4 linked regions of the Arabidopsis thaliana genome follow. The protein of the gene in region 1 interacts with the protein of each later gene in a pairwise test. Each region holds a gene or a part of one and is shown in the gene's direction. Other genes may lie near its edges. The genes, in order: CAT6, SUC7, CAX1 and ESL1.

The links.
Region 2: the proteins of CAT6 (region 1) and SUC7 interact in a protein complementation assay, tested with the Arabidopsis thaliana proteins (one large-scale study listed by BioGRID).
Region 3: the proteins of CAT6 (region 1) and CAX1 interact in a protein complementation assay, tested with the Arabidopsis thaliana proteins (one large-scale study listed by BioGRID).
Region 4: the proteins of CAT6 (region 1) and ESL1 interact in a protein complementation assay, tested with the Arabidopsis thaliana proteins (one large-scale study listed by BioGRID).

The regions. Positions count from the first base shown.
Region 1 is NC_003076.8:1,376,904-1,382,994, forward strand, and holds CAT6 (cationic amino acid transporter 6), read left to right. Parts: upstream 1-1,717; 5' UTR 1,718-2,214; coding exon 2,215-2,617; exon of another isoform or gene 2,618-2,733; coding exon 2,734-3,302; intron 3,303-3,414; coding exon 3,415-3,646; intron 3,647-4,367; coding exon of another isoform or gene 4,368-4,399; exon of another isoform or gene 4,400-4,853; coding exon 4,854-5,401; 3' UTR 5,402-5,575; downstream 5,576-6,091. UniProt on the Arabidopsis thaliana protein: Permease involved in the transport of the cationic neutral or acidic amino acids.
Region 2 is NC_003070.9:24,834,702-24,839,093, reverse strand, and holds SUC7 (sucrose-proton symporter 7), read left to right. Parts: upstream 1-1,652; 5' UTR 1,653-1,851; coding exon 1,852-3,093; intron 3,094-3,193; coding exon 3,194-3,257; intron 3,258-3,615; coding exon 3,616-3,785; 3' UTR 3,786-3,850; downstream 3,851-4,392. UniProt on the Arabidopsis thaliana protein: May be responsible for the transport of glucosides into the cell, with the concomitant uptake of protons (symport system). Does not seem to transport sucrose.
Region 3 is NC_003071.7:15,988,552-15,995,102, reverse strand, and holds CAX1 (cation exchanger 1), read left to right. Parts: upstream 1-1,817; 5' UTR 1,818-1,924; coding exon 1,925-2,209; intron 2,210-2,499; coding exon 2,500-2,567; intron 2,568-3,151; coding exon 3,152-3,180; intron 3,181-3,285; coding exon 3,286-3,482; intron 3,483-3,705; coding exon 3,706-3,930; intron 3,931-4,030; coding exon 4,031-4,159; intron 4,160-4,283; coding exon 4,284-4,400; coding exon of another isoform or gene 4,401-4,504; coding exon 4,505-4,675; intron 4,676-4,783; coding exon 4,784-4,990; 3' UTR 4,991-5,594; coding exon of another isoform or gene 5,595-5,674; 3' UTR 5,675-6,011; downstream 6,012-6,551. UniProt on the Arabidopsis thaliana protein: Vacuolar cation/proton exchanger (CAX). Translocates Ca(2+) and other metal ions into vacuoles using the proton gradient formed by H(+)-ATPase and H(+)-pyrophosphatase. Involved in ion homeostasis in association with CAX3.
Region 4 is NC_003070.9:2,865,627-2,871,181, forward strand, and holds ESL1 (ERD (early response to dehydration) six-like 1), read left to right. Parts: upstream 1-1,632; 5' UTR 1,633-1,819; coding exon 1,820-1,966; intron 1,967-2,056; coding exon 2,057-2,119; intron 2,120-2,216; coding exon 2,217-2,306; intron 2,307-2,384; coding exon 2,385-2,510; intron 2,511-2,604; coding exon 2,605-2,670; intron 2,671-2,771; coding exon 2,772-2,847; intron 2,848-2,942; coding exon 2,943-3,007; intron 3,008-3,089; coding exon 3,090-3,182; intron 3,183-3,277; coding exon 3,278-3,358; intron 3,359-3,451; coding exon 3,452-3,536; intron 3,537-3,624; coding exon 3,625-3,668; intron 3,669-3,751; coding exon 3,752-3,814; intron 3,815-3,888; coding exon 3,889-3,969; intron 3,970-4,087; coding exon 4,088-4,141; intron 4,142-4,233; coding exon 4,234-4,293; intron 4,294-4,387; coding exon 4,388-4,502; coding exon of another isoform or gene 4,503-4,564; exon of another isoform or gene 4,565-4,604; intron 4,605-4,609; coding exon 4,610-4,734; 3' UTR 4,735-5,030; downstream 5,031-5,555. UniProt on the Arabidopsis thaliana protein: Sugar transporter. Transports monosaccharides across the vacuolar membrane independently from a proton gradient.

The DNA.
Region 1 (6,091 bases):
CTCCACATTATCTTTTTTATTTATTTCATTATTACTCTTTTGTGTACCCAAAAATGTGAGACTTATTGGTGACCATACAAGTCATAATTTATTCTTGTCGAAATTAATTTATATATAAATGTATGCGTATGTGTGTTGTAGATACGAATATGTGTCAACGTTGCTGACACTAATCTAATTATCATTATTGTGAACAAAGAGAGGCTTAAGAGTGTTCGATTGAAGTAGATATTTAATACTATTTGTTTGGATAAGGTAGTGTTAATTCAATGCAGTGCGCGGCCAACCAAAAAATAAAAAGATCAATTGCAACGTGTATCCAGTTACGGGTATGATTGGGAGCGATAGAACTTTTACATAAACATACACAAATCATTCTACAACACTTTTTAATCAAGTTTCATAGATGGTTAGATGAGTTCTATTCGAATTAACCTTATAGTGAGTTTTGGTGTGGTAAAAATAGTGTTGATTTTGGATTACATATACACATGCGGTTAGTTGGTGGTGTTGGTGATTTTGGATTTTGGATTTCAGTGAACAGCATCAAAGGCTCCGAGTTCGACCCATGAAAATAAAATCAGTCAATCCATTGCTTCTTCTTCATCTTAAAGCGTCGAGTCTAATGCCGATTTCTCTATGGAGAATACTCATCAGGATCATGATACAACCTGCAAACATGTTGCGTTGCCCTTATCACAGAGAACAGATCACTCATCTTTTTTTTCAAGAACTCACTCATGCATATTACCACTCACACATACTATCAAATAACACGGCACTAACACTAAAACAAATTACTAAGTTACAAACTGTACCAACACAAGATTTGCGGTTATTTATTCCTCTAAGTACCAAACTATTCGTGTCCTCGTTTTAAAACATTTAAATGCAGAGACAAAATCAGTTGAAGAAGACCTTAATTAGCTGCAAATATGCGATAATATTTTCCTAGTAATGCCAAGTTGCCAACTATAAAAAATGAGAAGATTGTCGAAAAGAACCAACTAATTACAAAAACTCATTTCCTCAAATTCTGGTCACGCTTCGCTTTAAACCTGTGTGCTTATCCATTGAAAACAAAACAACATCCCACGTGTCACCTTCTTTGCCACACGTGTGAATCTTAAACCACACATAGCCGTTAGAGGTAACGTCGTTACCGTGTCTTATGATATACGGAAGTTAACGCCGTTTGTTTAGTTTTTTCTTTTTAACGTCCGTGACGGTTTCATAACCTCGGGAACTAAGTAAGGAAGAGCTTTTGAAGCAGAGAGTCGTTACGTTTCAAACAACCGATCATAGTCATAGACACAATTATGGTATTAATTTCATTAATTAGTACTAATTCCCTATCAATTACAAGGAACGCAATTACAAAATTTTGTCTATAATAACATCAATTTTAGACCCTCATTTCAAGGAAAAATGTGGGAATGATTCTCCAATGACATATTTATGATTAAAAAGTTCATTTCTCAGGTTCGAAATATTTTGACCATTTTGAAATATACTAATAATGTTGTTTAAAAACATATCTTATTAGAATGTTTATATGGTGTTATAGTGTTGAGATATTTTTTTTAAATATAAATAATTGAGTACAAATCTATAAATTTAAACAATAAAGAGTGTTATTAACAATTAATGATAAGTAGTAAAAAAAAAAGAATATTCTTCAATAAAAACCGTAATTCATTTTTTTCCTATTTTTTAAAAAACAAAACAAAATAAGATAACCATAGGAAATGCCACTCTGTTACAACTCAGCAGTCTAATGATATTTAATAAAATACCAATTTTAGTGGTTTATGGTCAACAAAAATAGTTTACAAGCTTAGCTAGATGTGAATACATACTATATACTACCAAACTAGTTTATGATTTGTATATGAATCAATAAAAGCGTTAGCATAATTAGTATATATAAATGTAACTGTAATTGGACCAAAGAGATAAAGCATCTTGGGTTTAGTAAGCTTTTGAGCTGATGATGCTTATGTGATTAATGTGAATATAAGAATTAGGGAACAATCTTGTTGTTAATAACAATACTTATAACATTTAAATGCCCTTAAGTATCGTCATAATTACATCTTTGTCCCTATCCTTCTCTTTTTCACTTTTCCTAATCTCTAATATAAAACCAACTCTTGTCAAATTCAACAAAATTCTCACACAAACCGACCCGACCCGAATCTGGCCGGTGAGAAAATGGAGGTCCAAAGCAGCAGCAACAATGGTGGTCACTCTTCTTTCTCCAGTCTCCGCGTCTACCTCAACTCTCTTTCCGCGACGCCTTCTCGCTTATCCCGCCGCGCTATTTCCGTCTCCACCTCTTCCGACGAGATGAGTCGCGTCCGCGCCGTCTCCGGCGAACAGATGCGCCGTACTCTCCGGTGGTACGATCTCATTGGACTCGGAATCGGGGGAATGGTCGGCGCCGGTGTCTTTGTCACCACCGGCCGTGCTAGTCGTCTCGACGCCGGTCCTTCAATTGTCGTCTCTTACGCCATCGCCGGGCTCTGCGCTCTCCTCTCCGCTTTCTGTTACACCGAATTCGCCGTCCATCTCCCGGTCGCCGGCGGTGCCTTCAGCTACATCCGTATCACATTCGGTTAGTCTCCCGCGAAAATCATCACTACTCCTCCGATCTGTTCACGGTTTTCTGAAAATTTTAATTTCAAAATCAAAAACCGTAACTGATTTCTTTTCTGTTACATTTCCGTTCAGGTGAATTTCCAGCATTTTTCACCGGAGCAAATCTTGTAATGGATTACGTAATGTCAAACGCGGCCGTTTCGAGAAGCTTCACCGCTTATTTAGGAACAGCTTTCGGGATCTCAACTTCCAAGTGGCGATTCGTCGTCTCCGGTTTACCGAAAGGATTCAACGAGATTGATCCAGTCGCAGTTCTCGTCGTCCTCGTAATCACAGTCATCATCTGTTGCAGTACAAGAGAGAGTTCCAAAGTGAACATGATAATGACTGCATTTCACATCGCATTCATATTCTTCGTGATCGTGATGGGATTCATAAAAGGAGATTCAAAGAATCTATCCTCACCGGCGAATCCAGAGCACCCCTCGGGATTTTTTCCGTTCGGCGCGGCGGGAGTTTTCAACGGAGCTGCCATGGTTTACTTAAGCTACATAGGATACGACGCCGTTTCAACCATGGCGGAAGAAGTTGAAAATCCGGTCAAAGATATCCCCGTCGGTGTTTCCGGCTCCGTCGCAATCGTCACCGTTCTTTACTGTCTCATGGCAGTCTCTATGTCAATGCTTCTGCCATACGATCTGGTCCGTACTTCAAATTTATTATTTTCTTATTGTATATTTCCGTTTTCATAAAGACGGCACGTAGTCTGAGTCTAAAGCTGAAAACGGCGGGGCATGTGTTGTTGTAACGCAGATAGATCCGGAGGCGCCGTTTTCCGCGGCGTTCAGAGGATCGAACGGCTGGGAATGGGTGACGAAAGTGGTGGGGATAGGAGCAAGCTTTGGGATATTAACATCACTTTTGGTGGCAATGTTAGGTCAGGCTCGCTACATGTGTGTCATCGGACGGTCCAGAGTGGTCCCCTTTTGGTTCGCTAAGATTCATCCCAAAACATCTACGCCAGTCAACGCCTCCACTTTTCTTGGTACGTTTCTTTGTCTTCATTCATTCATCAAAAAAACATTTATTTAATTACTGTCAAACAAACAATGATGAAATATAATCAAATCATATATAGTTAAAAATAAATTTTGGTCCAGAAAGTGAGATAGAGGAGTAGTAGTTAGGTTAAAAGGGGACCCCAATGAGAACCGTTTCGGTTGTTTCCATGATCTTTTTATTGATTTGAACTTTTAACGTTTTCTCTAAATCATACGATCCACGTGATTTCATTATATATACGTGTCCATTTCAATATATTTTAAAGATCAAAAGCTTTTGGACGTTACCATTTTAAAAATCTTCTGCTATCGATTTCGATCGTGACAAGGGCTATGTACGTTGTGTAAGTATATCTCAATGTAGGGACATGGTTCAATGTGATTTGTATCATTGTATGGTGTTTAAGACAAGAGTCACAGAGAGAGCATCTGAGTCCGATTGCTAGATGTCGTTGTTCACCACTGGTTTTCTTTTCTGCTCTGTGAAAAGTTTCGTGTTTTTTGATTGTTCAAAGATTCAATCTTTTCAACGGTCTTGATTGTGATGGATTTGGTGGGTCTCTTTGGTTCTTTTTGTGTCTCCTTAGTGTTAAAAATACATATTCCACTTTTTTTTAAATAAAAATACGATAGTTGGATTATTAGTCATCCATTGGACGACTAGTAGTTAATCAATCATTTTTTTATTTCATTTTTTTTGTGAAGATACTACTAAGCCTAGTCGGCTGATATTTTGACAACTCCAACTTTTCGTAATTTCCGGAACATCTGGCTGAGCTATGCAACTCGTGAGTTGTTAGGTACCAGGATTTAGAATAATGACCATCTTTGATAAAATACATAGAAGATTGGAAAACATATACTAACGTTTAGAGCCATATTTATATGCATAATCTTTGTAACAAGCATTGTTTTCCTCATTAAGTTACTCTCATGCCTTTGTCACAAAATGGATCATTATAAAGGGGGTCATCATCGTTCAACCTTATCCTTGCTAATTTTAGCACCCACTAACTCACATTTGCTATATCCATCAATAGCATTGACAAAAAGACAAAATAAAGGAACAAATCCTCCCACTACCATTCATTTCAAATTTGGACTTTTTTCACTAGTCGAATCATCTACAGTTATAGAGAATATGACCATTGACCAATCTTATTAACGTTCGTATATTTTATCCCTTATCAGGCATTTTCACGGCGGCTCTTGCGCTTTTCACCGACCTAAACGTCCTCCTAAACCTCGTATCCATTGGAACACTATTTGTCTTCTACATGGTCGCAAACGCTCTCATCTTCAGACGTTACGTCCCGGTTGGACCCACCAAGCCGTGGCCCACACTCTGCTTCCTCACACTATTCTCCATAACCTCTCTCGTCTTCACCCTCATCTGGAAACTTGTGCCGGAAGGTAAGCCTAAAGCTTTCATGCTCGGTGCCAGTGCGGTGGTGGCTATAGCCATCGTGCTGAGCTTTCAGTGCGTGGTTCCCCAGGCTAGGAAACCTGAGTTGTGGGGAGTCCCGTTCATGCCGTGGACCCCGTGCGTGTCGATATTCTTGAACATTTTTTTGCTTGGTTCGTTGGACGCACCCTCTTACGTCCGGTTTGGATTCTTCTCCGGTTTGATCGTGCTCGTGTATTTGTTTTATGGCGTTCATGCGAGTTCTGATGCTGAAGCGAATGGATCTTTTGGTGTGAAAGATGGACAAGTCATGAAAGAGCTAATTGAAGTGTGAAAAGTATTTATTTAGTTTAGTTTTCTAAAGCATCATGAACCAAAATGTAATTAAACTCTCTAATTTTTTTTCTACATGAGGGGGTTTGAAATATTAATGAGAAAATATTAAATACAACTTTAGGAAAAAAAAGAATATGTATTTTGGTTTAACGAACGACCAAAATGAAATCGGTCATATGCAAGTCAATCTGTTGAGAGAATAGAGAAACTGATGATATTTTTGTTTTACCGTTGTGTACAATTCACAACACACAATATTTTTAAATACAGTACAAACTATTAGGTTACAAGTTTTTGAGATTGAAAGATCAAATCTTTGTCAAACCTATAAGGCAAGATCACGTATGAAATATACATGTGATAGATAACATTAATAAATGGAAACGTTAGATAGACATAGGTCTCTCATAAATACGAGATGGCGTACAATTGAAAACGATGGGTCCCCATCTTTCTCACGGGACACACATACGTGACATTATCCGCAACTTCATATATATCCAACAAGATCACCTTTTCTTTTTCATTTTTTTGTTCACAATCACTTGTTTCAAATTCCTTGAGGATATTTATACATTCTTTTATTATTTGCATTTATATATTCTATATATCAATAGTACTATTGAACTTTCGTAAACAAAGAACCATGCACAAAAAGTTTCAGTTTATTAAAGATGTCTTCATTTTT
Region 2 (4,392 bases), on another chromosome or scaffold:
CTTAGCTAGGCCCATTTAGATATTATTTGATACTCGGTCCAGGCCTTAATCATCCAATGTGAACACGCTATTTTCTTAGGCCGAGGTTTATTTTTATTTTTAGTCAAAGTCAAAGAAGAACGAAGAACAATGTGTTGACAACTTTGTAGCCAAATTTGGGTGTTCTTCTAGAGGGTTAACAAATCCATCCACATCAAAAAGATATATGTTATCAATTTGTTCTCTTATAAACAATGATGAATGATCTTTTGTAAACTCTGTGTGACTGTGTAACAATAGTAACAAGGACATTCATATCTAAAACTGAAAACCATCTTCAGAGTCCACATTTGGCTAAGCAATCACACATAAGTTAAAAACCATTTTGAAACAAAAACAAAAGCCAACATAAGCTCCATTCTATCAACAATGGAGCTTATGTCTTGCTTCCATCTTGGACATTATTTAGTCGAGAATAAAAACTTTCAGAAACTTAGTACAAGCGAGCTTGCAAGCTTCAGTTTTCTTATTTGATTTGTATTAAAAGAGAAATGGAATCTGTATTTGACTTAGATGGATATTCACCATCATTCTTTGTTGGTCTGCAAAATATCAAGCAAAAAACTATAAGAACCACATTCAAAAATCAGATCATGGCCTCCAAATTTTGAAGTTTAGGGGACAGATCATAATCCTTATTAGACAATACAAGATCACATATGCACGAGACTAAAAGAATGGGATCAGAACAAGCAAAAATCACAATTGTCTCAAATGATTCAAAACAGATATACTCAAAATGGTTTTAAACACACAATCTCCTGTCAAATATAACCTTTCATAATTGACTGATGATCATAAGTTGATTATAATTAGTTAGTTTCCTTTGTTTAGGCCCATATAAGAAAATATACGCTGCCCATTTTGGACTAATTTGTCGTGATAGCATCATCATCACTGTATATGGATTTAAATAATATTTTTTTGGATTTAATAAATATAATATTATTTACAAACTGAATTAAAGTTTTTATTTAATAAAACGAATACGATATTCATTTAAAAACATAAAACACTTGTTAGTGCTACAAAATTTTAGTGTAAAAGTATTTACTTATCTTTATATTATAGTCATGTTAATTTTTGTCATTAGATATTCTTTTCTTTAGTGCAAAGAGCAAAACAATTGTGAAAAAATAGAGAGAGAAAGAAAGTTCACAGGCTTCTTTACGTGATGTACAATACAAATGTGGAAATTTTGATAACGTACAGCCAAGACATTTGATTTTGCTATATTTGGGATATAGCCGGTAGCTTTTGTAATACTGTCTAAAGCAACACTGGATGAGTCTTAATGTTGTAGACATATTTTGGGCTGTGGAAAGACTTTACAGCAACAACCAATCATCCCTTTTGGTTTTTTAGATCTCCTGTTATTCAACTAATAATTTCTAATTAAATATCTTTCTATATCCTATGTTATTAAACATGAAATACATATAAAATCATTCAAAACCATTTATAATCTCTTGTTATTCAGTTAATCATTTATAAAAGTCATACTACAGAAACAAGAAATTGAAAAATCTGTCACAATCTCAAAATAAATGATATAAAGATAAGATGATAAACTGATTACGGTTTTATTAACGTTAGTCTTGTCATTATTACAACAATCCTATAAGGATATATGCGTTATAGCATTACTATAAAAGATTTACTTTTCCAAACTATTGAAACACAGAATCAAAAAATCTATAGAAATATAAGTCTCATTTCTCTTCTCCACCTTGTCTTTAAGAGACAAGCCCACTTTCTTTCATCTCCTCAGCGCCAACAACAAACACAACCTCTAAGACAAGGGTGAAGAAGATGAGTGACCTCCAAGCAAACAAAGATGAGACGACTGTGGATAGACAGTCTTCCTCGTCGGTGGATCTTGATGGGCCATCTCCGCTGAGAAAGATGATATCGGTGGCTTCTATTGCTGCCGGTATTCAGTTTGGTTGGGCTCTTCAACTGTCTCTGCTTACTCCATACGTGCAGCTTCTTGGAGTCCCACACAAATGGCCATCTTTCATTTGGCTTTGCGGTCCTGTCTCCGGCTTGCTTGTCCAGCCATCAGTCGGTTACTTCAGCGACCGATGCACGTCAAGATTCGGACGTCGTCGTCCTTTCATCGCCACGGGTGCTTTGCTGGTCGCTGTTTCTGTTGTACTAATCGGATATGCGGCTGATTTCGGCCACAGCATGGGAGACAAAATCGACAAACCTGTCAAGATGCGAGCCGTTGTTATCTTCGCTCTCGGGTTCTGGATCCTTGACGTGGCTAACAACACTCTCCAAGGACCATGCCGTGCTTTTCTTGGTGATTTAGCAGCTGGAGACGCTCAGAAAACGCGAACGGCAAACGCGTTTTTCTCTTTCTTCATGGCCGTTGGAAACGTTTTGGGATATGCGGCAGGATCGTACACTAACCTCTACAAGATCTTCCCTTTCACAATGACTAAAGCGTGCGACATATATTGCGCAAATCTCAAGAGTTGTTTCTTCCTTTCCATCACTCTCCTCCTAGTCGTCACCATCATAGCTCTATGGTACGTGGAAGACAAGCAATGGTCGCCTAAGGCAGACTCCGACAACGAGAAAACTCCGTTCTTCGGTGAGATCTTTGGAGCTTTCAAGGTAATGAAACGTCCAATGTGGATGCTACTAATCGTCACGGCCTTGAACTGGATCGCATGGTTCCCTTTTCTTTTATACGATACTGATTGGATGGGTCGTGAAGTGTATGGTGGAGACTCAAAAGGAGATGACAAAATGAAGAAACTATACAACCAAGGAATTCATGTTGGTGCATTGGGATTGATGCTTAACTCTATCGTTCTTGGAGTCATGTCACTTGGTATTGAAGGTATTAGTAGGAAGATGGGAGGAGCTAAAAGGCTTTGGGGAGCTGTGAATATTATTCTCGCCGTGTGTTTGGCAATGACGGTTTTGGTTACTAAAAAGGCGGAGGAGCACCGGAGAATCGCCGGTCCAATGGCCCTTCCTACCGATGGCATCAGAGCTGGAGCATTGACTCTCTTTGCTCTTCTTGGAATTCCTCTTGCTGTAAGTCCAACATGTCTTTTATACAACTTTTGTTACTATTATGATCAATTTATCATTCATGGTTTAATATTTGTTAACATTTTTTTGAAACTTTTTATAGATTACATTCAGTATTCCGTTCGCACTAGCTTCTATAATATCAAGCAGCTCCGGCGCCGGTCAAAGTATTTTTAACATCTTTTTTTCCTAAAATTATTTAAACATTCTCTAGTAAATGCTAATTAAATTTGTGATTACAAAAAAAAAAAATTGAGAGATCAGTCTCCATTTATCTTCATAATTTAAGTTAATTTGGATAATAAGTTATCTAACAAAACATTTAATATAAGGTGATGTATGTAATCTACTAACTTAATTAGATTGAATATTGATGAATTGATATTCTTACGGAATTGGTTTTTATTCACCACAAGGAATTTACCATAAATTTATCAATAAAAACAACAACAATTATTTTGTGTAATATAAATATTAAAAAATCAAATTAATAATGATGTGTCTTTTTTGTTGTCATCTTTGCAGGACTTTCTCTAGGAGTTTTAAACATGGCAATTGTCATACCACAAATGATTGTATCGTTTGGAGTTGGTCCTATTGATGCGTTATTTGGAGATGGAAACTTACCAGGATTTGTGGTCGGAGCTATTGCAGCGGCAGTCAGCAGTATTGTGGCATTTACCGTTTTACCTTAAAAAGTTTATGCGTTTTATTTATTATATATGCATTTTTTAATATTATTGTAGCACTAGGTAAGGACTCTTGTATACTTAAAATTAATTTAAACTTTATTCTGTTAAATTATTAAAATTAATTTAAAATTATAGCAATTTTAACAAACAGCATAAGTTATGCTGCATAAAAAAGTTTCCCAAATTTAGCACATCATTCCCAATGTTTCAAAAATAGCACAAATGAAATATAAAACATTTTTTTATTGTGGACGTTTTATGAAAATATCATATTCGCCTAAAGATAAAAAGCTAGTCTCATATATATACTACATTTTAAAACATTTTGTTCCAAATTGACTCTTAATTTTCACGGATTTTCTTTCTTTATGGTAGATTTATTATAAGTCACAAAACTATTATATTTCGGTAATAACTATAAATAATTAAAGTATTGCTATATTTTAGCGACATTTCACATCGTTTTGGTACTTAATTATTATATCTCTTAGGAATTTTACAAAGATAGATATTACTTTCTCCTTTTCTTTTCTAATTTTGAAATACATCACTCGTTAAAACTTTACACGAAAAAAAAAAGTTATACATATGAATCTAAAATAACAAAACA
Region 3 (6,551 bases), on another chromosome or scaffold:
TCAATCGTTATCAATGGACGAGGACTACATAAATAGAACACTTTTTTCTCTTTGGACAAAGCATAGATAGATCACTTATGATCTTTTTTTATAATGAAAATTTAGTTATCCGGGACTAGGGGCGCTATAATCTAAGATTCTCTAGGCCATTGAGTTAGGAGAAAGAACTTAAGGAAAGGAACAATTGATAGGGATGCATTACGCAATGTATAAGAAATCATCTTAAAAGGATTTATTTACGTTGTTGCACAATATATAATTATATATAGTTAAAATATCATTTAATTACGCACCACCACACAGTATAGTTTAAATTCATCGATCCTTGATTTATTCATGACATCTTTCCAAAATCTCCAATACTCTTATTTAATGGTATAGACTCGATGGTGGTAGCAAAGTCATTATAATGTTTTGGAGCGTAATTGACTTTAGATAACCCTATTTTTATCCCTATAGTTAGATCTAAGGTCCTAATTAAATATCGATGACATCCAATAAATTTGGAACGATAAAGAAAGTTTACTGATTTGTTTCGACAAAGTCAATATTTCTGATTTGAGACAAATCAGAAACAAAGTGAATTTGTCAAAATTCCAAGAGCGATGGCGTGACGAATTGCGTGAAGAACAGCCGTAGCTTCAGCCGTGAGCTTCTATGGCCCTGATTTAAATCATAATTTTATAGATGAATATGAAATAACATCATGCTAGAAGTTAAACATAATAAACACTAGCGAACAAAAGCCACCAGCCACCTTCTGCCTTTTATGAAGCTATTACCTCCTCGTTAACCGAAAAAGCCACATGGCAAAACCATCAACATCGCATTCGTACTAACGACACAATTTGGACCCTTAGGATATTCTAAAGAATACTCTTAAAGCATGTGTTATAGACTTATAGCGACGCTAATTTGTTTTCGTATGTGAATTTCATTTTGATACAGAAGTACAGATCCGGGTGTCTTGAATTCTCCGGTTTACTGTGTATAACCAGTTTTCAAGGCTTTTTTTTATTTTTTAATTTCATTTTTAGGTTTCTCATTTTCGGTCATTCATGTCATACCAACCTACTGGAGTGGCTAATGAATCATGGTTCGATAACAATTCATCACCGACGAACTTCTCTGAAGGACCATGTTGACAAAAAATGTCTTGACACCCACGCAACTAGTAGACCTTTTTACTAAAACCTTGGGTCAAAAAGAGTTCGACTGTTTCTAGTCTCCACATTTCCACTTGAAGAGTTGTACGGAGACTTGAGATATAGTATATTTTTAAGTTATAGATTTTGGTTTTACTTTTTTTTTTGTAGCTATCTCAAAACTTGTAAAGAAGGCAAATAACATCAATAAGAAGATTATTTAATCAATGATTTTTAGGATACTAATGAATTTTTGATTTTATAGTATATATTTTTCCTTACATAGTTTTTCCTTTCCAAACACCATTGAATGTGAAAATCAAATTTTAGTCTTCAACATATTCCTTGCTTAGTAATGAAAGATAAGACCATCACATAACTCTTTTGCTATTAGATAAATATATTACTAAGCAAAATTAACTTTATAATTTAGTATGATTTCCAAAGAGTTATTTCCCAAAAATCAAGATTTGAGAGCCATGTGTTACAACTTTCAACTGCAAGATCTATATTAACCATTTCTGATTTTGGTTTCCAAATATTAAAACCATAAATCCCAAAAAATTAAATAATTAAAATCTCAAAGGGAAACTTGGGAAACTTCGTGGAAGTTGCCTTGGTGGACCCAATAAACAAAACTAATCAGTAGTATTTAAACAAATCATGACGCCATTTCTTTACAAAACAAACATAAAGAATCAGCAAAGCAAAATTCGAAGAGACACAAAAAAACCTTCGTTTGTGTCTCAGAATTTACAAAGTTTTGAGTCAGTAGAGAAATGGCGGGAATCGTGACAGAGCCGTGGTCAGTAGCTGAGAACGGAAACCCAAGCATAACGGCGAAAGGATCGAGCAGAGAACTAAGACTTGGAAGAACCGCTCACAACATGTCTTCTTCTTCTTTGAGGAAAAAATCAGACCTCCGAGTGATTCAGAAGGTTCCATACAAAGGTCTTAAAGATTTTCTCTCTAATCTCCAAGAAGTCATTCTCGGAACAAAGCTTGCCATTCTTTTTCCGGCCATTCCTGCCGCCATTATTTGCACCTATTGTGGCGTCAGTCAGGTACACATATTTTTCCGCTGTTTCATTGATAATACATTGAGAACATCATTCAAAATATTCGCAAAAAGAGTTAGAATACGAAACGCCTACAGATTTTTATCAATTTGTCATTAGTATTTAAGATATTTCATTACATCTAATCCAAATTACATCTAATCCAAATTACTAATTACCGGTTACTATTAAATTAGATTTGTAGTCATTGATGTTTTAAAATTAAACTTTGGTGTATCTTGTAACGTATATACATGTACATAATATATGGTACTAAATCGTGATTTTTATTACAGCCTTGGATATTTGGACTTAGCTTGCTAGGACTGACACCTTTGGCTGAGCGAGTCAGCTTTTTGACAGAGTAAGTATCCGACCATCATCTCTTATTTTATCCATTTACATATTTCTATAATTTGAATTCTTCACATTACGACATTTTCTTATCGATCGTGACAAAATTTAGCCAACTGTCGATAAAATGAATCGTATCTATCCATCTGTAGTTAAAAAGATCACGTTATATCAATACTTTTTTCTCTCTTTCAAATAAATCTAGTTACCAACCACTCATTGTAATACTTATCGTTGCTCCATAATACTTTCCACTAAGTTTGCAGTTTTTCCCACTACTTGCTTTAAATCTTAGGGGTTATAATCATGAAGATCACGTTAGTTAGGTCCAATTCCACCATAATTTATGCTTTTTGAAATAAATGGACATGGACCAATATTCTTTGGGGATTCGGCAATGCATGATTGGTTTTTTATTACAACCACACACAATTATTTGACACTCATATGTCAACGTGACAGCATAGTACAAACTCTATCATCTAATCAAGTACATTGAGATTATCTAGAATCATCTTATCAAGTGACGCCATAAAAAGTTTTTTTTTCGTGTGGTAACTTTATTATTCACATTCTCTCGTGATTCTCGTGCAGGCAACTAGCTTTCTACACCGGTCCTACATGTAACGTTTTCTTTACCAACTATTCTTATTCCAATCTACAAACGTTATTTACTTATTTTATCAGTAGAAACTCATTTATTTTTTCTGTGTGTTTTTGAACCGCAGTGGGTGGTCTATTGAACGCAACGTGTGGAAACGCGACTGAATTGATAATCGCGATTCTTGCTTTGACCAATAACAAAGTCGCAGTGGTGAAATATTCGCTGCTAGGTTCGATTTTGTCGAACCTTTTATTGGTTCTAGGGACTTCACTCTTCTGTGGAGGAATCGCTAATATCCGAAGGGAACAGCGGTTCGACCGGGTATGACTTCCCTTTTAACTTCGGTTCAACTTTAATTTCAAAACCAATAATATTTTTTTTAGTTAAGATAATTGAACCGGGAATGAAATAGGTTTTGTACGGCTAGTGTTAACCAGGATTTTGTTTAAAAGTTTAGCTTGATAAACAAGCAAGTGGTATGTTTGAACCAAATTTTAATAACGGATATGCTAAACGAAATCAATTTGTGTGGTCATTGTTGCAGAAACAAGCCGATGTGAACTTCTTCTTACTTCTACTGGGTTTCTTGTGTCACTTGCTGCCATTGTTGGTGGGATACTTGAAAAACGGAGAGGCTTCGGCTGCTGTTTTGTCCGACATGCAACTGAGTATATCGCGAGGCTTCAGTATTGTTATGTTGATCAGCTACATTGCATATCTTGTTTTCCAACTGTGGACTCACCGCCAATTGTTCGATGCACAAGAACAGGTAACTGAAATCTATACACACAAGATAACAGAAGAATGTTATATAGTAGCGATATATATTATTGTATTCTAATGGATCTTTGATACGAAATTTGGTACAGGAAGATGAGTATGATGACGATGTGGAGCAAGAAACCGCGGTGATTAGTTTTTGGAGCGGTTTTGCATGGTTGGTTGGGATGACACTCGTTATCGCATTGCTATCGGAGTATGTTGTAGCCACGATTGAGGTAACTCTTTTGAATTCCACATTGAAACTGACATGATCAACTAAAACATTATAGTAAATACACTTATCGCCAATTGGTTTTGAGTTGGAAACATGCTCGCTAATATAACGTCAACTTTGTTTAGGAAGCATCGGATAAATGGAACTTATCAGTGAGTTTCATAAGCATCATATTGCTTCCTATTGTTGGAAATGCAGCTGAACATGCTGGAGCCGTTATTTTTGCCTTTAAGAACAAGCTTGTAAGTTCGATTTTATTCCTTAAAATTATCGCTTTTAATCGATCCCGAGATCTATTATATAATGACACAATGCAAGAACTTATATCAATCCAAATAATTTCTAGGACATATCTTTGGGAGTTGCGTTAGGCTCTGCGACTCAGATTGGCTTATTCGTTGTCCCCTTGACCATCATCGTGGCGTGGATTTTGGGAATTAATATGGATCTCAATTTTGGTCCCCTCGAAACTGGCTGTCTTGCTGTTTCCATAATCATCACAGCGTTCACATTACAGGTTAAGCATTTTTCGACACCTTACAAAATTATTAATCCACTAGACAAATTAATGGATGATCCAAGTATTGAGGGTTAAATATTTTTGTTATGTTTTGTGGTTCTTTAGGATGGGAGTTCTCACTACATGAAGGGACTGGTCCTCTTGCTTTGCTATTTCATTATTGCCATCTGTTTCTTCGTCGACAAACTTCCCCAGAGTGAGTTAGTTTTCAAATGTATATGCATGCTATTATTAGGGAAAACAATAATTGAGGCATACAACACCCATATATCAAATGGAAATGCTTCATCAAATAAAGTTAAAACGGGTTAAATAGGTTCCCCCAATTATATTTATTTATTAACTAAGTTTTAACATAAATAAATGCTTTTCTTTATGACGAGTCTCTTTACTAATTTTTGAGTAATATCTTAATAACTAAAGTAAAATAGTAATAAAACTTATATTTTATTTTTTTAATTCAAAAACAAACAAAAATTATAATTTTACTGTCAAAAACTGCATAACTGTTGCTTCCGCCAAAACCGAAAAATAACATTTTCCGTTTAAACTGCGAAATTCTGTTTTATGTGATTGTAACTTTTATTGAAAAGTTTGTGAAACTACATAGGCTAGTGAAAAATAAATATCCCTGGAAACTAAGAGAAAATGTTGAAAAATGTTGAAATTCTCGAAGAAGATAACAACTCTCACTAAAAACATTTGGTCTTCACGTTCATTGTTTTTTCACAAAAAAAAAAATTCTCACAAAATCCACGTTTTCTTGCAAAAACCGTCAATTAATTGGGTATAAATAGGTTTAAAATTAATTGGGGTGGGTTCCAATTTAATAAGATTACTACATACTACATGCTACTACTAGATTGACAATGATAATTATTCCCTAACACCAAATTGTGATAATTTTATCTTTCAGAACAAAATGCCATTCACTTGGGACATCAAGCGATGAACAATGTCGTCACTGCAACAGGAGGAGGAGTTTTCTCATCTTAAACGAAGACAAGTACCAATGTGTTGAAACAAAATTTCCAAAGCGAGAGACAATGGAGAAAGGAAAACAAAAACCAATTTTCTTGATTCATTTATAAATATTGAAAGATTTGTCAGAGAGATTCCTGAGATTCAGTGAGTATTATTTCATTTTTCAAAAATGTTGGGTGTCTTGATGAAGATGAGTTTTGAGAACTTTATAAATTCTTCTTGTGGGTGGGTTTTGCAATGAACTATCTATGAATGTCTTGTGTCAAATGTTCTATCTCTTTTTATTAATGGTTTTATCATTTTTTCTGAGTAGTCAATACTATAAAACTATAAATAAATGGAATTTTTGATTTTCCTTTATAATCGAGGTAGAACATTGTTTCTACCAATAGAAATCCAAATTCAAATAATCATATATCTCATCAAGTCAAAATCAGACCTTCGGTGGGATTGAGAATGTCAGAAAAAAAAAAGGGTCAGACCTTTATTGGTGAGCTTTTGTGGGTTAAAAGCCCAATGAATAAGCTATTGGGCCATTTAGATTTATATCTGCAAAACAAATAAATGAAGTGAAGAGTTTGAATTCACACGAAAAACGAGGCTGCTTCATTGGTCAGTCCAATTCAAATATCAACCGTCAAATCAGTCAATCGCCGTTGTATATCCAACGGTTCAGATCTTAGATTCATTCACTAGGCCCTACTTTATTTACATCTATACCCTCTCCTAACGCTCCACCTCCAGAAAAAATTTTAAAGAACACCTGAGAAATCAGAACAGTGGCAGTTTCGTGAATATACGACTGAATCAATCTCTGTAAAATTTCTTCTTCCTCCTTTTTAGCCATTATCACTCTTCTTCTTCTTCGTTTTGTTTCTCCATTGTTAAC
Region 4 (5,555 bases), on another chromosome or scaffold:
TTTTATTGATAGAATGAGATAGGACAACAAATACCTTTTTTGCCGGGAAAATTCAAAGGTTGTTGATGATTCCTTGTGTCCGCAACTAGAAAGAGAAAAGTCTGTCGTATCAAATTAGATATTGACAAAAATGTCAAAATATATGAAGAAGTGTGAGGGGAAACCGTTGATTGAACGTAAGACATTTGAAAAATGGATATGTAGTAGTTTCTAGATTTGCTTACAAGGAATGTTGAGTTGTATCATTTTCTCTAACGCAATAGCTAACGTGCACGACTTTTTTTTTTTTATGTAAACTTCAAACAAACCACGATCAACGCGTTTACTATTTATTGCATGGAAACTATAGCAAGTGTGACAACTCATATCAATTTGTGATGAATTGATTAACTACGTAGGTAGTATAATATTTGTAAGTTGGTTATTCACGTAAGAAATATTGTATTTTACTCTTATCCAGATTATTTAAGAACTCGTTTTTCAATATAATGTTTGACATTTTATACTCGAGTTAATAAACAAATTAGCTTTACATTGACAAAATTCTGTTGTATATTATTTATAATTAATCTTGACTATGGGTAATTAAATAATATTTTTTTGGAAAAAAATACATTGGATTTTCTCAAATGATCACACTTCTATTAAAACCAAAATAGTACGTATACGCTCTAGACGATTCTAAATAGATGATTAATTTGGCTCGATTCATTAATTCAAAAAATAATAATATTTAGTGTTTTAAATTAGAATTAAAATATTAAATAATTATCGGATATTTCAGTGTTTTAAATTATTGAGGATGATTTTTGTTTAGTAATGACGTCAGATTGTCTAAGGAATAGTTTGGGAAAAAAATCTGAATCAAATATGACTAACAAATGGTTATTGGTTATTGAACTGGACCATAACAAAAAGACACACACACAAAAAAAAAAACTTTTTTTATCTGGTTTGCTCCATGGATAAGAATATAGTAGCTAGGATATCCTGATCTTTAGATAACGGTAGAACATGTGGCATGTGTTTATTGTTTATTTTTATTTTATTTTGAGAACAAAATAGTTACATTGTTTGGTTATATATAAAAAAAAAACAGACCAAAAAGACAAAACCAAAGCTTAAACAAAAAAAGAAAAGAAAAACTTAATTAGACCGGTTAACACTAAACTGGTTTATGTAAAACGGATTCATAAATGTATCTAGACATTCACTTACATAAAATTCATCACAAAATTTCACCCAATTACGGTTTTGATTCGGTATAGGGACCACCTTCAAAATTACCCAATAAATAAAGAGTGGATAACAACTAGCATAAAATAATCAAAGCATCCACTAAGACACAAAACACAATTTCATAAAGATGATGATGAATCACATAACTTTAAATAAATATTCTTTCAAAAAGGCAAAACTTTTAAATAAATATCATTCGCCTGTCGGCCAAGAAAAAAAAAAAGTAAACAAAAATAAATATCATACGTATTGACAACAAAAAATTCATACGCCAGTCCAATTACAAATTACACAATATTTAAAAATTTAAATAAGGAAAACAGAAGAAGATACAATTTCAAATTAAAAAACAAAATACGTGTATATAAAATTGAATAAAACCCCAACAGAAACGTGACACAAAAGAAAAGATTGGGGAAGCTGACCTCTGCCTTTCCTCCTCCATTAATCAAGGAATATAAATCAGCTTTAAACTCAGTCCTCTTATGGAAGACAAAAAAGCAAATATTTATTCGTAAATATAACTTCAGAACCCTTTCAACAAAACTCTCTCTGTTCTTTCTCCGTGGAGAAGTTAAAGATGACGATGTCGGAGAACTCAAGAAACTTGGAAGCTGGTTTGCTACTGAGGAAGAACCAAAACGACATCAACGAATGTCGTATCACTGCTGTTGTACTTTTCAGTACTTTCGTTTCTGTTTGTGGCTCTTTCTGCTTCGGTTGTGCGGTTAGTCATCAAATCACTCATCTTTTTTTTAAAACAATTTCTCTGTTTGTTTTGCTCTGTGATTTGAAAGTTTGGGGTTGGATTTTACAGGCAGGTTATTCATCAGTTGCTCAAACAGGGATCATAAATGATTTAGGTCTCTCTGTTGCACAAGTAAGAAGCAACCCTCTCTCTTTTCTTGAATCTTTACTCAAAAAGTGCTAGTTTTGCTTAAATTACTCTGTTTTTTTGTTTTTGTTTACTACTTCAGTACTCCATGTTTGGTTCAATCATGACTTTTGGAGGAATGATTGGTGCCATCTTCAGCGGGAAAGTTGCAGATCTCATGGGTCGAAAAGGGGTAAATTTCCTGACAATTTGAAATTCATACAAACATATGTTTCAAGATCATGTACTGATGAATTTTTCTCTTAAACAGACTATGTGGTTTGCTCAAATTTTCTGCATCTTCGGTTGGGTTGCAGTAGCATTAGCAAAAGACTCCATGTGGCTTGATATTGGAAGACTATCCACAGGATTTGCAGTTGGTTTATTAAGCTATGTGGTAATAATTCTTTTACTTTCTTTTTTTCCATTTATTTTGTGTATTATATACTTATTTATTTTTACTGACTTTGTGTTAACTCTGTTGCCTTCAGATACCAGTTTACATTGCAGAAATAACACCAAAACATGTTCGAGGAGCGTTTGTATTTGCTAATCAGGTAAACTAAAGAATAATTAGAGAATAAATTCTTATAACCATAAAATAAAAAAGATATATATTATACTAATGTTCTTAAAATTTGTTCAAATGTCGTTACAGCTGATGCAGAGTTGTGGATTGTCTTTATTCTACGTCATTGGAAATTTTGTTCATTGGCGTAACTTGGCCTTAATCGGTAAGCTTCTTCCTAATCCTTTTTTTCTTTCTAGCAGGTTAGTTATGAAATTTTCATCAAGAAGTGATTTAAGTTTATCGGTTTCTGTCTCTCAGGTCTCATTCCATGTGCGTTGCAAGTTGTGACTTTGTTCTTTATTCCAGAGTCCCCTAGACTACTGGTACGTTTAGCCCTTTTTAAGTTTTGATCTTTTTTAAAAAAAGTGTGAAGTAAAACTCAATATGGTTTACAATGGTGTATAGGGAAAATGGGGACATGAAAAAGAATGTAGAGCTTCATTGCAAAGTCTTCGCGGAGATGATGCAGATATCTCTGAAGAAGCCAACACTATCAAAGTATTGCAACTTTTCACACATCTCTCTGTTTTTAAATTGTGTTGTTTTCAATAAAACATGACTAATGAACAAATCATTGGAAATGTCAACTATAGGAAACCATGATCTTGTTTGATGAAGGACCAAAATCGCGGGTTATGGATTTGTTTCAGAGAAGATATGCTCCATCTGTTGTTGTAAGTTTATTCTCAAACGTTTTGTGACAAAAAAAGTTGATTTTCTCTTGTACCGTTATACTTACTCTCTGAAGTTTGTGACATTTTGTTCAGATTGGTGTGGGACTAATGCTTCTACAACAACTCTCTGGAAGCTCAGGACTTATGTACTATGTCGGTAGCGTATTTGATAAAGGAGGTAAATAGATAAACAAACTCTGTTTCGCATGTTACGATAATTTACTGTCTTCATTTGGGAGTAACAAATATTTTCTTACTAATGGCAGGGTTTCCAAGCAGCATTGGCTCAATGATTCTTGCAGTGATCATGGTATGTCTTTGTACGTAGTTTCATTTATTCGTGAAAAATCTTGCCAAGAAGTACACTTATGCTCATGTGTTCTGCTTTTGTAGATACCAAAAGCTCTATTGGGTCTGATTTTGGTTGAGAAAATGGGACGAAGACCACTTCTATTGGTAAGATTTTGCTATCTGATCTTTTGGTCAAATATCAAATGAAGCAACAAAATTTAGCATATATCTTTTAACAGATGAATGATCTTTATTTACAGGCCTCTACCGGTGGAATGTGCTTTTTCAGCTTGCTCCTCAGTTTTTCCTTCTGCTTTCGGGTAATTAACATTAACGATTCGCTTTCTAACCAAAGATATATACAAACTTTTTTTGCTGCTGTTTATTGGAGATTCTTACCAGTTATACTAAAATTTTTCTACTTTTGTTCTTGGACAGTCATATGGCATGCTTGATGAGCTCACTCCGATTTTCACATGTATCGGTGTAGTGGTACGTTTAAAGTCATTTCTTAGACATAATAAACAAGCAACTTAAAGTATAGCTCTTGTATAACTTGATCTGAATTTGACATCATATTACAGGGTTTCATCTCTTCATTTGCCGTAGGCATGGGAGGCTTACCATGGATCATCATGTCTGAGGTAAACAAACATGAACATTAACATTAACTCCTCAAAAACCGACATATATATATTTTTTCCAGCTCTAAAAAATGTTACATTTTTTATTTTGCAGATATTCCCAATGAATGTTAAAGTTTCTGCTGGGACTCTGGTTACCTTAGCCAACTGGTCCTTTGGTTGGATTGTTGCTTTCGCCTACAACTTCATGCTAGAGTGGAACGCATCAGGTATAAATACATACTACTATATAATATACTATAGAGTCATTAAACTCTCAAAAAAAAATTAGATCTTTAATCTGATTTAATTTTTGAAATATATTAATCTGTTTCAGGAACGTTCTTGATCTTCTTTACTATATGTGGTGCGGGTATAGTCTTTATTTATGCGATGGTACCCGAAACTAAAGGAAGAACATTGGAAGATATACAAGCTTCTCTTACAGATTTTCTACAATGAGATCAAGTTTGACTTGTTTAAAGTTATTCATTTTTTCTTAGATTACAATTGGGGGGAGGTTTATAGTTTTTTGTTGTAATTGTTACCTCATTTGATGTGCAATTGAGAAAGAGATCACTTGAACATAAGGTTTAGATATCTCTCTGTCTCAGTAAATTAGCCCAATGTATGTATAGTATAGTCCCAGTTTTACACCCAAAAAAAAGAAATATAAAATTGAACTTTAAGGTATTGGCTTTTTGCTTTCATTGTATATTTAACATTTTTTTTTTTTACTTTTACTAGTTGCTAATGCTATTAATCAATCTACCAGTTCTCTGAAACCTGTAGACCCACAGTTTCTACTTTCGGACTTATTTGTTCTGTATGTGTTCCACATTTCCGGCCTCATTCCTAAAAGTTGAATTGATTTGTGAGATATTTCCTTTTCAAAAATCATTGTTCTTTTTTATATTTTCTCGATAGCATAGGGTTTTCAGATACGGATAGTGATAGGGCAACAAATAAAACTAGGTTAATTCTTATCCTCTCTAAAAGTTAGTAAAGAATAAAGACAATTTATTTCCTTTTAAGGTTCCGAAAATGAGGTTTTCTAATTCTCTCCCTAGACGTAATTAAGCTATCGCTGTGCCAACCAGATTTGTGGTAGGTTACGTGCATCTGTTGATCTATTTGCATACATCATAAAGATCAATCCTTTAATTGTTTAACCACCTTTCTGATATTTCAATTATCTTGACTTTTTTTTTCTTTGTTCGTTAAAACTATTGAATTTTTAGTCATTTAGTAAATATATTGCAAGTGCTATCCATAAAGATGTT